Linked DNA regions of Coturnix japonica. The protein of the gene in region 2 interacts with the protein of the main gene of each other region in a pairwise test. Links are inferred from orthologs where the notes say so. Each region holds a gene or a part of one and is shown on either strand. Other genes may lie near its edges. The genes, in order: PRRC2B, YTHDF1 and DHX30.

Evidence for each region.
Region 1: the proteins of YTHDF1 (region 2) and PRRC2B interact in a two-hybrid assay, tested with the Homo sapiens proteins (2 studies listed by BioGRID, with this or other methods). The link is inferred for Coturnix japonica from reciprocal best matches to the Homo sapiens genes YTHDF1 and PRRC2B.
Region 3: the proteins of YTHDF1 (region 2) and DHX30 interact in a two-hybrid assay, tested with the Homo sapiens proteins (2 studies listed by BioGRID, with this or other methods). The link is inferred for Coturnix japonica from reciprocal best matches to the Homo sapiens genes YTHDF1 and DHX30.

What each region holds. Positions count from the first base shown.
Region 1 is NC_029532.1:4,747,413-4,752,638, reverse strand, and holds the start of PRRC2B (protein PRRC2B), read right to left. Parts: upstream 3,140-5,226; 5' UTR 3,006-3,139; exon of another isoform or gene 2,958-3,005; intron 1-2,957.
Region 2 is NC_029535.1:7,815,245-7,820,641, reverse strand, and holds the start of YTHDF1 (YTH domain-containing family protein 1), read left to right. Parts: upstream 1-2,007; 5' UTR 2,008-2,321; coding exon 2,322-2,348; intron 2,349-2,678; coding exon 2,679-2,703; intron 2,704-4,097; coding exon 4,098-4,177; intron 4,178-5,397.
Region 3 is NC_029517.1:677,084-681,833, forward strand, and holds part of DHX30 (ATP-dependent RNA helicase DHX30), read right to left. Parts: intron 4,750-4,750; coding exon 3,928-4,749; intron 638-3,927; coding exon 559-637; intron 1-558.

The DNA.
Region 1 (5,226 bases), on a different chromosome or scaffold from region 2:
ATGCAGAGCACTAACACGGTAGTAAAACTTGAATCTCATGAAAGCACTCCTAAATAATTGGCCATAAAGTTTTGGTTGCTAGGTGGGAGCTCAATTCTTGGGTTATTTAAGAAGATAAAACCATACTCTGTACTATTTCAACCATTAAGAAACATTTCTTGAGCATGCCCCTACTCCCCTGCCGGCTTTGCAGCCCACTCCAAACTCTGAACAAGAGCACACAAGGCTTTTGTACAGGGCTCCCAGCCCACACACAGGTAGGAACAGCTGAAGAACCCACCCCACTGCAGAACGCTTCCAAAAAAATACCACTATATTCCCACACAAAAAGTGCCTGTGGGAGGTGAAGTCCCAACACGAGCTCCTCAAACCTGCTTGGCTCAATGCAGCACCATTAACAGCAAGTGTGGTGTCTAAAACATCTAAACAGCAACCCAGGAAGGACTCTTCCACTAAACCCCTTCCAATAGGATGCCATCTGTGTGAACACCGCATTCTGCTCCTCTTTGTGCCACTCACCTGAACTTCAAAGGCTATCAAGGATGCTCCCAGCACCTAACCCAAGCCCTCTGTGCATTTCAAGTACTGCACTGCAATAGCATAGTCTTTTTGGCCATATCCAAGCATACCATTAAGCAAGCCCTCAGTTGCTTGCCCTTGTGTTTCCTTTTTAAGCCTCCATACTTTAGTCTGGCCTCCTCTTTCACTTTTGCCTATTCCAAATCCTGCCATTACTTCTTCCACTGCAACCAAAAGTGCTTCCAATAGTCCTCCATAAATTAACACCTACGGTCCCTTTAGATGGTTGGACTCCATGATCTTGGAATGCGTTTTCCAATCTAGATTCTAATTCAGAAAGATGCAACAGAGAGCTCTCATCCCTTCCAGCTCAATGTAGGTGCTCAGTACCAGGCACTGAACACATACTGTGACCCCATTCAGAATGGGGCACACACCTCTTAACACCCCCAAACATCCCCCTGTCCTCACAGAGCCCACAGCACATCAAGCTTCCATACAAACCAAATGCCAGACAAGGAGCGCTGCAGTGCTACCACACCAGCTTCCAGCCCACCTGAGTTACAGCTCCAGTGCTTCCAAAGAAGAACACAAAGCACACAGGATTCACAGCTACACAGTTCCTAGCAGGTTTGTTCTCCTCTCTGTTAACAAGGAGAGAACTGCTTGTCCCCCAGCTTTTACCTGTTTGCAGCGCTTTCACCTCAATGCCTGATGATACCCGACTGCATTTCTTCTGTTCCAAGTGACAAACTAGTGATAAGGAGCTGAGAAATTATCGACCTATTAGGAGAATGAGTCAGTGCCACATGAAAAACAAAACCCACTTACAAGGTATGAATAGCAAGGAAAGCAAGAGTGATACTGAAACATCACAATCGTTGCCAGCTTGCAGAACACGGGAGGAACACAGTGAAGAAAAGGGAGGCTCAAACAAAACACAACGCCATTCCTTCCTTTAAGAGGCTGTTGGAGTAAATGAGCCTTTGAAGTTAGGCGCTACAGAAAGCTTTAATAGAGGGTTTTATTACAATGTCTCCGTAGAAGTTAAAACCTTCTATTAGGAACCTTTAGAAACATTAGTCAAGATTTATTAAAACCAAGACGTTTTTAAATCCTGCCTCTATTTCCCTGCATTTGGATGGGCTGCTTCCTTACTGTTCCCACTTCAGCTTGGGAAACTCCATCCGAAGTATGTGGTGAGCACCATATAATGCAGTTTCCAAGAGGTCAGATGGGAGAGGTGTTGTTTATCGTGCCCCCAAAATAGATTCTGCTAGCTAGGAAGAACCTCTTCCACCACAGCCCTGAGAGAAAGAGCATCACCCATAGACCCACAAGGATCTGAAGGATCCTGGGTGAACTCCTGATGGAACTGAGGCACACTTACTGTATTTCAATTCAGGTGAAAAACATGGGCAGGTATCTCAACAAGGTAAGTGCTAAGACAAGACAAAGCATTCCACATAAGCCTTGATTCAGTCCTGGAACAAGTGGGATTTCTTCCTTCTGGACTTATTGCAGCTGATGATGCAAAACTGCAACCTGCTTGCACTCACCACCCATTTCTAGAAACAGAATTTCTCAGGTCCTGAGCATTTCTTTATCACGTTATCATCCCCAATACCACTGACAAAGACATGAATGTTCAACAAGCCCACCCCGATCAGACCATCCGAGCCCTTCTGACGTTCACAGGACAAAAACAACAACAAGAAACCCGCAGAGCAAATCAAAGCAACTTTCCTAAGGAGACCCACAACTCCCAGACCTGGTCAGGTTTGATTCCACAGACGAAGAGGTTTGTCGGTATTGATACAAAAAGCGCATATTACGCTTGCTCACATCCACAGCTGCTGAACAAACCCTGCACGGCTCTGAACGCACCCAGGGCCCATCTCAGAGCCACCCCACAGCAGCCACGCTCCAAGAACCCAAAGCACCTTTACAAACCCACCCACAACTCCCCGAGCACCAGCACCAACTCTCTCATTCCAAACCCCCCATCCCCCCTTCTCACCAAGCAACATTTCAGCTCTCCCAATAACCCTTTCACAGTCTCCCGCACCACAACAAAACAACCCAGAGCCTTCTGATTGCCCCCCCATCGCAGCCTCCCCCTCCTTGTTTTGTCGAGACGAACACAACAGCGCGACGAAAATATCTTTGTGTCACACCCGATGAACCAAACCAGCCGCCATCCTCACGGCCTCCCCCCAGCTCGGGCAGCCCCCAGCCCCGCGGCCTAAGCAGCCCCACGGCCCGGCCAGGCCCCGCAGCCTCACAGCGGGGGCGGCTCGAGGACAATGAAGCGGCTCCAGGCCCGGGGTGCCGCAGCCGCTGGGCCCCGGCTCCATTTTAACGCTGCCTCGTCCCACCTTCCCTCACCCTCCCCTCCCTCCTCCTCCTTCTCCTCCACCCCCCCCGTTCCCACTCACCGCCCCGAACATCCACGGCCGCCGCCGCCTCCGGCCCCCGATACCCACCTGCGGGGGTGGCTGGGAGCCGGGAGCGCCTGAGGAGCCGGGTATGGAGCAGTGATGGACGCGGGGCGAGGCGGATGGCGGCGGATTGCGCGGGGGGATGCGGGGCGATACGGGTTCTCGCTGCCGCTCCCTCCTCTCCCTCCTCCTCCTCCCCCGGCCCGGCCTGTCAATCCCGCGCGGGGGGAACCCGCCGCCTCCCTCCTCACAGCGCCGCCTGCAGAGCTCCGCCGGAACGGCGGCTGAGGGCCGAGCCAAGATGGCGGAGGAGGAGGGGAGAAAGGAGCCGAGCGTCCGCCTCAGCGGAGCGAGACGGGAACAAGCGGCCTCGTGAGGCCAACGGTCCCACCTCAGCCTTGAGGGCAGCGCAGTGTGAGCAGCATCCCTGGTTTGCTCTGAAAATGCTGTAGGAGTCGTCATGAAACACAGTTCTCTGTTCAAGGCATCTTAAACCTTGTGAGTTGTCATCTCAGGTTCCATTTCTCCCTTTATTTCTCCATCCCTGTCCTCTAACACTCTTCTAACACCTGAACCTCCCCCGGTTATATTCATCTCTCCCTATTGCATGCTCTGATGCACCAGCTGTGGATTTACAGCTGCTAAATACAGGTGCTTCACCTCAAAGCTGACACTAATGTCTCAAACCTCTCCTCAGTTTGAGCCATCTTGGAGATATCTTGGACAACCAAGCCTGCAAATATCATGAAGGAATACTGGATCACCCCCTTAAATACGTGTTATACACATGTGTGTGTGGGTATATCAATATATATATGGAATAAACACCTGGGCTCTTGCCCAGAGGAACTGACTTATTCCAAGTTCACCCTTTGATCCAGTGTGCTGATCATGAGAGATGTCAGATCTCAAACACACTGAGAGTGATACAGAGGGAAGAAATGCAGGAACCATTTTCAGGACCATATGTGTTGTTCCTACGGTTCATCTGCACAGCTACTGAAGTTGCCAGGAGCTGAGCTACCCAGAGATGCACCAGACTCATTGCCTGGCTGTTGGATCCCCTCTATCTCTCTATATCAAAATATCTCACTGCTTTGGCATCTCTTCCCACCTTCCCCATCACATATTGGGGTTATCAATACCCTCTACCTTCTCTCCTTACAGAGGAGCTCACCTTTCTCCCTGCTCTACTGACCTCCCACTGCACAGTATTGATGAGCCATAACAACAAACACCCAACAGCATTATTAGTTGCCCTTCAGAGGCTGGGCACTGTGGGATCCCCTTGCTTTCAGTGACTCATGCAGCCACCTACAACCCAAGCCACTGGCAGGTGACTCACAGACTTGTCCAGGTCAGCGCTATGCACACCTGCTGCTGTAATAAGCAGTTCTCCCAAGGTCTCTGGTGTATCTCCAAGGCAACGATCCAAGGCCAAGGGAATTGATGTGCCAATTAAAGAAAACGCTCGTGCAACCTGTTGTGGAGATCAAAAGGACGCAGTAAGCAAATGAAAGACAATTCCACATTCATTATCATGTGTGTACGCTGCGGCTCCTGCAAACTGATGGCTTCTCCAGCATGCTGAGGCAGCTCCATGGAGCTTTGTCCAGTCTTATGGCACAGGACTGCACTGGGAATGGGCTTCTTTGTATAATCTAAACAGTGAAAAGCCACCACCTGTTCCCATCACAGAAAAGAGTGTCACCAACACAGCTTGGTTTGTGGGGAGGCCACAAAAGCCTTGTCATGAAGTGACAAATTCCTGTGCCATTCTAGAAGTGTCCCGCGGCGCTTTTCACCTGCCCGTGTATAAATCAGAACTGGTTTCACTGGTGGAATTAGACCCACGGCAGATGGCAGTGAGTAGGGTGAGGTAGAAATCAGCAAACAGGTTTTGCCAGGTTGAAGCTCAGTGCACAGCTCTGTGCAGGATCCGTTCTGCTGCCCACTCTGATTTCTGACCTCTTCCAGAGAGCTGAGTGAATTTCCCCCAGACATGAGAGTCAAATTCAACCCCCTGCTTCCTCTTCCCAAGATTAATTACAACTGAATGCAGGAACCCTGCTGTGTGCTTCATTCTTCCACTAATTAAGAATCCTGTCAAATAGAAAATAACCACTGCAGAGGGCTCACAACCCTGGTATAAGGTTTGTATCTGCAGAAATGTCTTGTGCTCTAAGGCTTCCTAGAATTAATTGAATTACTATTATATTACGCTTTTTCTTCAAACGTTTGCTCTACATCTATAAACCCTCAGCCA
Region 2 (5,397 bases):
CTTAATACAGCTTCTTTCTTTTAACTAAAGGAGATGAAACGTTTAAAAATCACATAGGTGTTAATGAAAACCCCTTGAGCAGTAGGGGGCAGTACTTAGATACAAAAGTTACAGAACTGGAACACGTGGAACTGGTTCTCTTTAATTTGTCCGTAATGAATTTACATGTAATTGCACATTCTCTCCTGCTCCACGTGTCCTGTTCTTGAAGAATACACTGTCAAAATGTAAAGTACAGAATGTACCAAATCCCTCTGACAAAGGTTGTGTGAGGGCTCTATTAATGGGTTGTTGCAAATCACCTGTCCACAGGTAAGAATCATTACCTGTTTCCAGGAGGTATTTTACAAGCTATGAGCTGGCCTTCTACTGCTTCTAACCAACCTTCTTCTAAATGTGACCTCGGGAAGTGTTGGCAACATGGGAGGCTCCTCAATCTGCCTTCTTCATGACCACACCTGGGTGTTAGCAGTCCGAAGGCAGAAGAGTCAGGGAAGCTGTTACAGTAGGCTTAAAAAATCTGACTGTGGCACATGGAAGGTGGTACTGATGCACTGCAGTGTTGTGGTAGAGGTGTAATGAGTTGCTTAGCCTTTGTGACTACATTGCTTCTAGGGAAAGACCATGGGGTGATGGTGACTGGAGACACAGTTCCATGTTTGCTTTGCTCCAAGGGCGTATTCAATAATGTGTTGTATGCTACTAATATTTATCTTTGCTAGTATCAGGCTGATTTGGAATGAAAGTAATCAGTAAATGCAAGGGTTAAAGTATAGCTGGAGACAGCATGACAAATGTTCTTAAAGTTACCAGGAAGAAGCAACTCACATTTTCTTAATGCAAAAGTAAATTCTATATATAAATATTCACATAACCCACAAACATGGATGTAGGCATATACATACACCTGACATACTTTGTCTTTTAATCTAAAATAATAGGTAGAGTCTAACAGCTTTAGTTCACTGTACCTTGGGATGTTGAAACACAGTACTCACATGCTGCCTACATATATTCATGGCTAAGATGATTCATAGTCATACAGTTTCTATATCAAGCCTAGTGAACATATACAGTCACATACCCTTCAAAGCAGTGCTCAGAAGCATCCAGGTCTATCCTTTTCTTCCTTCCTTCTTACAGATGTTCCACTCTCATGCCATGCTGTTTGCTTTTTCACACTCGTTACTGAAGCAATGTCCTTAAATGGCCTTTCTGGTGCATGCAGGGATTCTTGGGAGCACAGATTTACCTACTTTACACATTATACATATGGAGGATCTCATTCTGATCCATGTTTTTTTTTTTCTCTTCCATCTCAGATGTGCTTATATCGTGTGTATCTGGCAACTGTAAGTGGTACATTCACATCATGAAACCTACACAAAAAGTACGTTTGAAGGCAACGGAGACACCAAACTAAATCACTGCAGAACTAAATCACTGCAGGCATTTTGACAGTCACAAGGAAACAAACACACACAAAACAGGCTTTTGGCCAAATTAAGGACATCCCCGTCCTATAAACAGTTGCGGGGTGACCTCATAGCAGCCTTTCAATACCTGAAGGGAACTTACACCCAGGAGGGGAGGAAACTCTTGGAAAGGGCTGACAATAGCAGGACACGGGGAAATGGTTTGAAGTTAAAAGAGGGAAGATTTAGGTTGGATGTTAGGGGGAAGTTCTTCACTAGGAGAGTGGTTAGGCCCTGGAACAGGCTGCCCAGGGAGGTTGTGGATGCCCCGTCCTTGGAGGTGTTCAAGGCCAGGTTGGACGGGGCCCTGGGCAACCTGATGTAGTAAAGGTGTATGTTTGGTGGCCCTGCCAGGCAGGGGGGTTGGAACTACATGATCCTTGAGGTCCCTTCCAACCCGACTCATTCTGTGTGACTGTGATTCTGTAATACCGACATGGAGCCCATCCCGCCTCTCCCTCCCGCCCCACCACTTTGCGCATGCGCCACAGGTGCGGCCCCGCTCCGCGCGCCTTCCCCGCTCTCCCGGCGTGCCCCGCGCTCAGGCCCTGACGTCACCTCAGCCGGCCGCCCGCCGCCATTGGAGTTGGCGGTTCGGGCTCCGTCCCTCACATCGGCCCGGCCCGGAGGCATGTGAAGGGACGGGGCTGGCAGGGCACGGCGAGACACGAGACTCGGTGCCGGCCTATCGTCCCCCGGATCCCCCTTGAGGAGAAGCCGAGCTGCGCCGTGCGGGCCCCTTTCCCCTCCCCCTCGGCCCATTCCCTTCCCCGGCCCTGTGCACTGAGGCGCCGCCGCCTCCCTCCCGGCCTGTCTGCTGAACCACGGCGGCCCTGTACATGAATTATGTCTGCCACAAGCGTTGACCCTCAGGTAAGTGGTGCTGGGCCGGGGCTGGCCCTGCTGATCTGGGCGAGTTCAGGCCTGGATCGCTCTCAGTACCTTCGCCTGAGGGCACAGCGAGCTGCTATGGCCGTGTGGGGTGTTTATGGGGCTGGATGGGCCTTGAAAGCTGCTCCTCGAGAGCTCAGACAGCTCCCATTGCCTTACAGCTGTTTCCTATGAGATCCCCCCCATCCCTCCCCATGAGATGTGTGTCGATGTGAACGTTTTCCTAACATCAGTTTCTTTGTTTCCCTTCTTTCTGTTTGTTTGTGTTGGTTTTTTTTTCCTGCACCCGATCGTGTGCTGTGGATTTTCCAGAGACCGAAAGGACAGGATAATAAAGGTGAGTATCACGCTGAGATCTTGCTGTTGAAGCAGCCCCTGCAGGAGATGAGCTCTGCAGGTACCTGTGGGTTTAGCAGCCCCTGTGGGCAACGTGTGGAACAAAGGAAGTTGTGCTTTGTTTCAGAGATGTATAAACTGTTATTTACACGGTCTTGAGTTCATCCCACTTATTGCTATGGAGTTTACAGTGGGAAGAAATGTGAGATCATGCCCAGCGTGCTTATAGTCTCCTCATTTCCTTTGGAATAACAAAAAACTATGAGGGTATCTGTTCAGTGTATGAGTATTTGTACGTAGTTTGCATAGTCGTTTCCTGCTATACAAATACAGTTCCATGACTGTACTGCTGTTGGCTCTACAGTTACGATCTGTGAGAAATGAGCCTATGAACTTAATTATATTTATTTAAAATTCCTTAAATAATTAACTGCTTGAGATAATAAACTTTTTATGTCAATATCCGTGCTCCATCTGATTTCTGATTTCAGCAAATCATTCAAGAAACCGATTCTATGATCACTATGTCATTGTATAAATGTTCAGCTTTAGAGACTAGCAGTATCTTCTACTCAAATGCTTTCCCATTTATCATAACCTGCCTTAAAAATCTCTGCTCACAAGAAGTTTGGCCCTGTTTTCAATATTGGTGTACTCTTTTTTGCTTCCATTAACAATCTTTCCAGAGTTACAAGTTCCCAAACTTCCATGCTAAACACTTAAGTCTTGTGTGGCTTTACTTCACCTGTTTGATGGAACAGTAGCTAAATTTTCTCCTCACGTAATGTGGTGTTTGAGCTTCTTTCCTTAGCATTTAAAGTGACACATGAAATCATTTGGTGTAACCCAATACATTTTGCTTTTGTATAGCATTAAGTAATGGGTAAGTAGGCATTTGGGTGAGAGAAATATCTCTCTTACAGGCTTTAAAGATTGAAATTTGGATTAAAAATGGCAGAATATCGATGCACATAGCAGTCATTGTTTATAATTAAATGTAAGCCCACCTGATCTTCCTGTAGCTAACTTAACTTAGGCAATAAACACCACATGCTGGGAGAGCTGTGAATTAGTTTCTGAGAGTTCTAATTATGGACCCAAACATCTGATGTTTCCTAATTTATTGCTTATACAGAACTCCTGTATTTTTTGGCTCAGAGATGATTCACAGAGGTTGTGTATTCACTCGTTTGTAGGAAAGCTTGATTTTTAAACACAAACTCAGTTCTGTAAGCAGTTATACAAAGTAAAATCAGGGGACAAAAGTGATCTGTATGGCTTTAAGATGCTTCATGCTGTGAAGAAGTGTGGCTTTACCTAAAGTGCCATAAAGTGGAACTCTACTGAAACACTCCTAAGCCGTATCATAATGTCTTGTAACTTTTTTTTTCGTAGTACAAAATGGTTCATTACATCAAAAGGATACAGTTCACGACAACGATTTTGAGCCTTACCTTTCTGGGCAGTCAAATCAGGTTGGTGTGTTTTTCACTTTATTTTCTTTATCTTAAGCATGCTTTTGGCACCCAGCTCCATAGGATTGTGTTGTGGAAGCAAATTCCTTATAGGCATGGAAAAAGAAATGAGTAGCGTATTGTGTTACTTAATAATACAACTAGCCTTGTGCTCCCAAAGCTAATATTACCCTGTGTATCCAGATAGCAACCAGTGAAAACTACATTAATGCTCCAAGTAGTGCCTACTGATTGCTCCTCATGTTGCAGGTTATTGATAGGGTTGGACTGTGACAACCTACTTGATCTTGCAGTTCTTTGATAGATGAGTTGCACGTGGGAGTCTGGAGTTGCTGATTTTGGGGTCTCACAGTTCATCTTTTCAGTAATCCTAGGGGTTAATATTGTTGAAATTTGGATATTGCTTTTAAGAAGAAATGGCAGATGTCCCGCTTGCTTTTCTCACTTCAACAAATATTGCTCTTCCATCCTCTGAAATATCTCAGGTCTGAAAAACATACTGTTTTAAAGGTAACGAACACCCTGTAATGCAAATTCTGAATAAAACAGTTCATTATACTGTACGTTAAGTGACCATCCAGGACTTAAATACCACTGTAGTCATAAAAATCTTCTAACTGAAGTAGTTTCTGACTTAACTTTCAATCTTTTTAAAGTGAATGAAATGTTTAGAAACTTTAAAGCCTTGGCAGAGGTTCATCTATTATTTGTTTTAAAAGTGCAGTTCAGCCTGAAGCTGATAGATGCCACTGTCAGTGTTGGTGACGTTGCTGAACTTGCTGGCAAGAAGAACCTCTGTGTGCTTAAAAGAAAGATGTAGGTACCTACATACATGAAAGCATAACTCCATTGACTCTTTGCTGCTGCTGCAACAAGAAGTTGGTGTGCTGCAAGAGATAACTCTGTAGGTGATCTTAATAGTTCTAATTGGAAAGTGACAGTAGCATTAAATAGGACTCTGATTTTATAATACTTGGAGAAATGATTCCTTCCCTAATTTATACAATGGTTGTTTAAAAAGAAATAACTAGGAAATGGTCAAGGATAAATCTGTTGAAATGAATGTGACTGCTGCTGTGGTGAAGGATCTCGACAGGGTTTCTCTTACATGCTCTGGCATAGTGCCAGTCAAATAGATTGAATGCTTTGTAAAGATGCTTGCTGAAACTTCACAGACAGCGGCTACAGGGGGTGAGTCTCAATAATTGCCTGGAGTCCTT
Region 3 (4,750 bases), on a different chromosome or scaffold from region 2:
CAGCACATACCTGCTGTGCTGCACCCAGCTCTGAACTCATGGGGCAGAGTTTAAAACCAAAAAGGGTTTTAAACAGACAAGGCCAGCTGCACTCTAGGAGTGAATAGCTTCTGTCAGCTTTGAAACATGAAAGCGCTTAAAAGTCATCTTAGAATACAGCCTCCTTCATCACACCAACACCTCCCAGGGAACGGCACTTAGTGGGGATGGTTCTCCAGCACAGGATTGGAAACAAACAGTGCAGCACAGGCTGGTGCACAAACCAGTCCAGCACTTGAGCCCAGCAACAGCTGTACCTCAGGACACAACGACTGAGACACACCAGCACAGGAACCTGCATCCAACCCTGCTTCCAGATACCCTTCTGGACTCCAGAGATAAACCTGAGCAACCGCTCTGAGCACTGCTCACTTCCCCTGGCTGAGGCAGGAGATCAGGGTGGTCCTGCAGAACTCAGCACAGGATTTCCTATGCCAGGGGTCTGGGTTCTGTAAATACCACTTTTTGTTTTCCCCCCTCCCGAAAAAGTAAAGGGGAGGAGGGCAAAGCAGAACCTACCTGGTTCTCCATGGGCGTCAATCTGGAGTACAAGGTCGGTGATCAGATCAAGATCAAGGACACATTCATCATCTGATTGCTAGATAAAACAGTAAGCACAGCAAGGTAACGTTTTGATACAGGTACTATGGGAGCTGGCAGGAGGAGTGCCATCCTAGCTCTGCTCTTTGTCATCATGCGATGGCTGAGCTGAGATATGGAGAAGACTGGCAGCAGAGCTACTAACCCTGGATTCTAGGAGAGCAGACTGCAGGCTGCTCGAGGAACTGGTTAGTAATGGGGGTGGGGGTCTACCATTGGTGGTGACATTTGCAAATCCATCTTTTAAGAGTGCAGGAACAGGCAATTCCAGCATGTCAGAAGCCAAGCAAGGAAGCAGAAGGCAGCGTGGCTGAAGAGGGAGCTCCTCCTAGAACTCAGGCAGAAAAGCAAAGCGTATGAGCTTGGTAGGTCAGGGCTATACAGGACTGCAGAGACGCCCTCTGCCTTCCCAAGGAGAAATTCACATGGCCAAACTCAGAACTGAAGCTGACACGTTGAGATGGACGATAAAAAAGAAGTGGTAGATTTTTTGTTTGGTTGGTTTTTACTTGATAACGTTGGCCATCAAGCAGGGGTGAAAGCAAAGCAGACATTTAATGGCTTCTTCGCCTCCACCTTAACACCAACCATGGGTTGGAGCACCACAACCTGGGAGTGATAAGCTCCCAGCTGACTCGATTTACTGCTGCAGCTGAATGCACCCTAGTCTATGGACTCCAATGGGATTCATCCCAGGGTCCTGAAAGACCCCTCTCAGTTATCTGCTGACAGCCACAGGAATCTGCTCAATTCTGGTCAATTGAAAGCTTATGTTATTCTAATCTTCAAGAAGGGCAAGAAAGATGATGGTGGTAATCAGTACCTGGTCAACTTCTGAAGACTGTTCTAGGAGCTGGTGATAAAATACTTGCAAGATACCATTAGTCAAGACCAACACGGGTTCACAGCAGACCAGCCATGCCTTACTAGCTTGATGTCCTTTTATGACAAGGCTCCACTGCCTTTTCACCCACTGGGTTTGGGCTATGGGGATTCCAGCAAAGCTTCTGATAATCCCACAGTATCCTTCTAGACAAAATGTCCGGCACGCAGCCAGACACACACAGACATGATGGTGAGGATGGGCTGATGGGCCAGGCTCAAAGGGTTCTAGGGCATGCGGCAACATCAGGCCCGCGGCCAGCAGCCAGGTTCTACAGGCTCAATTTTAGGGCCAGTTCTCTTCACTACTTCAATCAATGACTTGGACACAAGAGCTGAGTGCACTGTGTACATTTCTGGATGATATTGAACTGGGAAGAGCCACTGATTCCCTTGAGGGTAGAGATGCCTCGCACAGCAGTCTTGGTAGAGTGCTGGGCAACCACCAACCACATGAAATTAACTAAGAGCAAACAACAAATTCTGCAGCAGGGATGGTGTAATCCTGGATATACACAGAGGCTGGGGACAAGTGGCTGGATTGCAGCCCCACAAAAGGGACTGAAGGGTTCTGCTTAACAATAAGCTTAATATGAGGGATATTAATATGAGGGATGACCTCACTGCTGTCTGCAGCTTCCTCATGATGGGGAGCAGAGAAGGAGCTGCTGACACTTGGTGGGCAGGATGCAAGGGAATGACTCCCAGCTGTGTCAGGCAAGGATCAGGATGGATATCAGAAAAGAATTCTCCACCGAAAAGGTGGTTGGGCACTGGGACAGGCTGCCCAGGGAAGTGGTCACAGCCCCACATTTATAAGGAGTTCAAGAAGCATTTGGACAACACTCTCACATCTACAGTCCAAATCTTGGGCTGCCCAGTGTGGAGACAGGATTTAGACTGAACATCAATGTGGGTTCTTCCAATTCTGGATACTCTGTGATTCCAGGAGGACACGTGCAGAGGAATAAGCAGCGATCTGGTTAGAAAGGTGCACAAACTCACAAAGCATCTTCTGGAGAGAGCAATTGCCTGTAGCTGGATGGCCTCCCCAGGACCAGGAACCTCAGGAGTCTGGTCTGGCTCCATCTGTCCCGTGCTCCAGTCACAGCTGCTGCCAGCTTCCTCTGCTGTGCTGTGAAGATGCAGCCTCTATCCTGCTCTCCAGACCTGGAAGCTATCTGACCCTTGGGAACCTCTAATGAAGTAGCAAAACTTAGATGAAATTTCAGGGGCCAGAACTGTGCCACGTGTGCCCTAAGCCTTCAAACCCACCAGACACAGAACAGCAGCTTTTATGCCTCAGTAATTTGGAACAAGTGTGTCAGGCCAGCCTAAAAGGTAAAAAAAACCAGCCACAACAGAAACAGGAAGGTGGCCCTGAATGCAACAGGGCACCCTCAGCAAATCTGCTGATGACACAAAGGTAGGAGATGTGGCTGATACACCAAATGGCTGTTCAGACACAGAGGAACTTCTACAGGTGGCCAGAAACCTCCCGTGGTTCAGAAAGAAGAAAGGCCAGGAAGCAGAGCCATGGAGCTACCACAGAGAGAAGAGGGAAGGGCCTTGAGGATGATGAAGGGTCTGAGAGGTACCTTAACCCATATAATTATTCAGTGAGGGGGAATGAAGAAGAGGGAGCCAGGCTCTTCTTGGCAGCGCCCACTGACAGGGCAAGAGACAACAGCCACAAATAAGATGCAGAAAATTCTGTTTAAGCATAGAAAAATCCATCTTTACTCAGGAGAGACTGAATACTGGAGAAGCTGCAAAGTCTCTGCCCTTGGAGATACTCAAAAGCTTCTCCTGAGCAGCCTGCTTGGGCTGACCATGCTCTGAGCAGGGGGGCTGGCCTAGATGAACCTGCAGGTCTTCCAACCTCAACCATTCTGTGATTCCACGACCTGCCACTGAAGTGAGATTACCCACAGCACACATCTGGAAGCACTCTCCAAAATAATAACATAGAGCAGTCAGACTAATTGCAAAAGGTGGCCATGGAGGAATCAAGTCATGCAAGACGACGAGTGCCCGGATAACAAGGCTGCTCCAAGGCACGTCTGAGCCATCTGAATCTTGCACTAGACTTGCATGCTGCATATACGTAAGCACACTGAGCTGTTAGCTTACTCAAACATAAATACACTTCATGCTGAAGAGGGGAAAAATGCAACTTAAACCCAAATATGAAGCTGTCTTTACCCAAAACTTAACTAAAACACAAGGGATGCTAAGCCAAATTTAGCTCATGGGTGTTGACTTGGAATGAAAGCTAAGCAAACACTGCTAACGGACAACAGGAAAGAGGGACCAGATCCAGGCCCAAACTCTCCCCCTGCTGATACGCCAGAAGCCAGTCCCTTGTCCAGTGGGAACAGCTTCAACACCACACTGCACACCCACCTTTATTTCATAGTGCCGGTGTCGGTGCCTACCCAGCTTGGCCAGGATCTCCTCCAGGTAGTACTCCTTCACTGGGTACATGAAGCCCGGCACTTTGACCACAGGGCAATCCCCAAAGTAATGTGAGAAACGCTGATTGTCTCCTGTGGCGCTCATCAAGACCAGGCGCAGGTCGGGGTTGAGCTTCTGGATGCCTTTGAGCAGGATGAGCAGGAAATCCGTGTTGACATCTCGCTCGTGGACCTCATCGACCACGACGTGGCTGACACCCTCCAGACTGGGGTTTCCCTGCAGCTTGCGCAGCAGGATGCCCACGGTGCAGAAGAGCAGGGCTCCTCCCCGGGCAGGGGGTTTGCTCTCCAGCCGCACCTGGTAGCCCACGTTCTTCCTCATGTTGGGACCCAACTCCTGTGCCACACGCTGGGCCACTGAGATGGCGCTGATCCTCCTGGGCTGGGTGATGACGACGTTGCAGCGGGCGCCGCGGCCCTCCAGGATGTAATGTTCCAGCAGGAGCTGAGGGATCCTTGTGGTTTTCCCACAGCCCGTATCTCCTGCTATCACAACCACAGGGTTCTGCTCAATGGCTGACAGGATGGTGTCCTTGTGAGGATCCACCGGCAGCGGGTGGCTCTCCTGCCATGAGGATCCTCTCCTTTTCCAGAGGGCCAGCAGGTTCTGACTGAGGCGCACCTCCTCTGCTTCCAGCATAGGGATGTATGTCTTCCCCGTGATCGCGTCGCTGATCGCGCCGGACTCCTTGCTCAGGTTCATCATGTCATCAGCAAGCCGGGGCCTGGACTCCCTGATGTCCACTGGATAC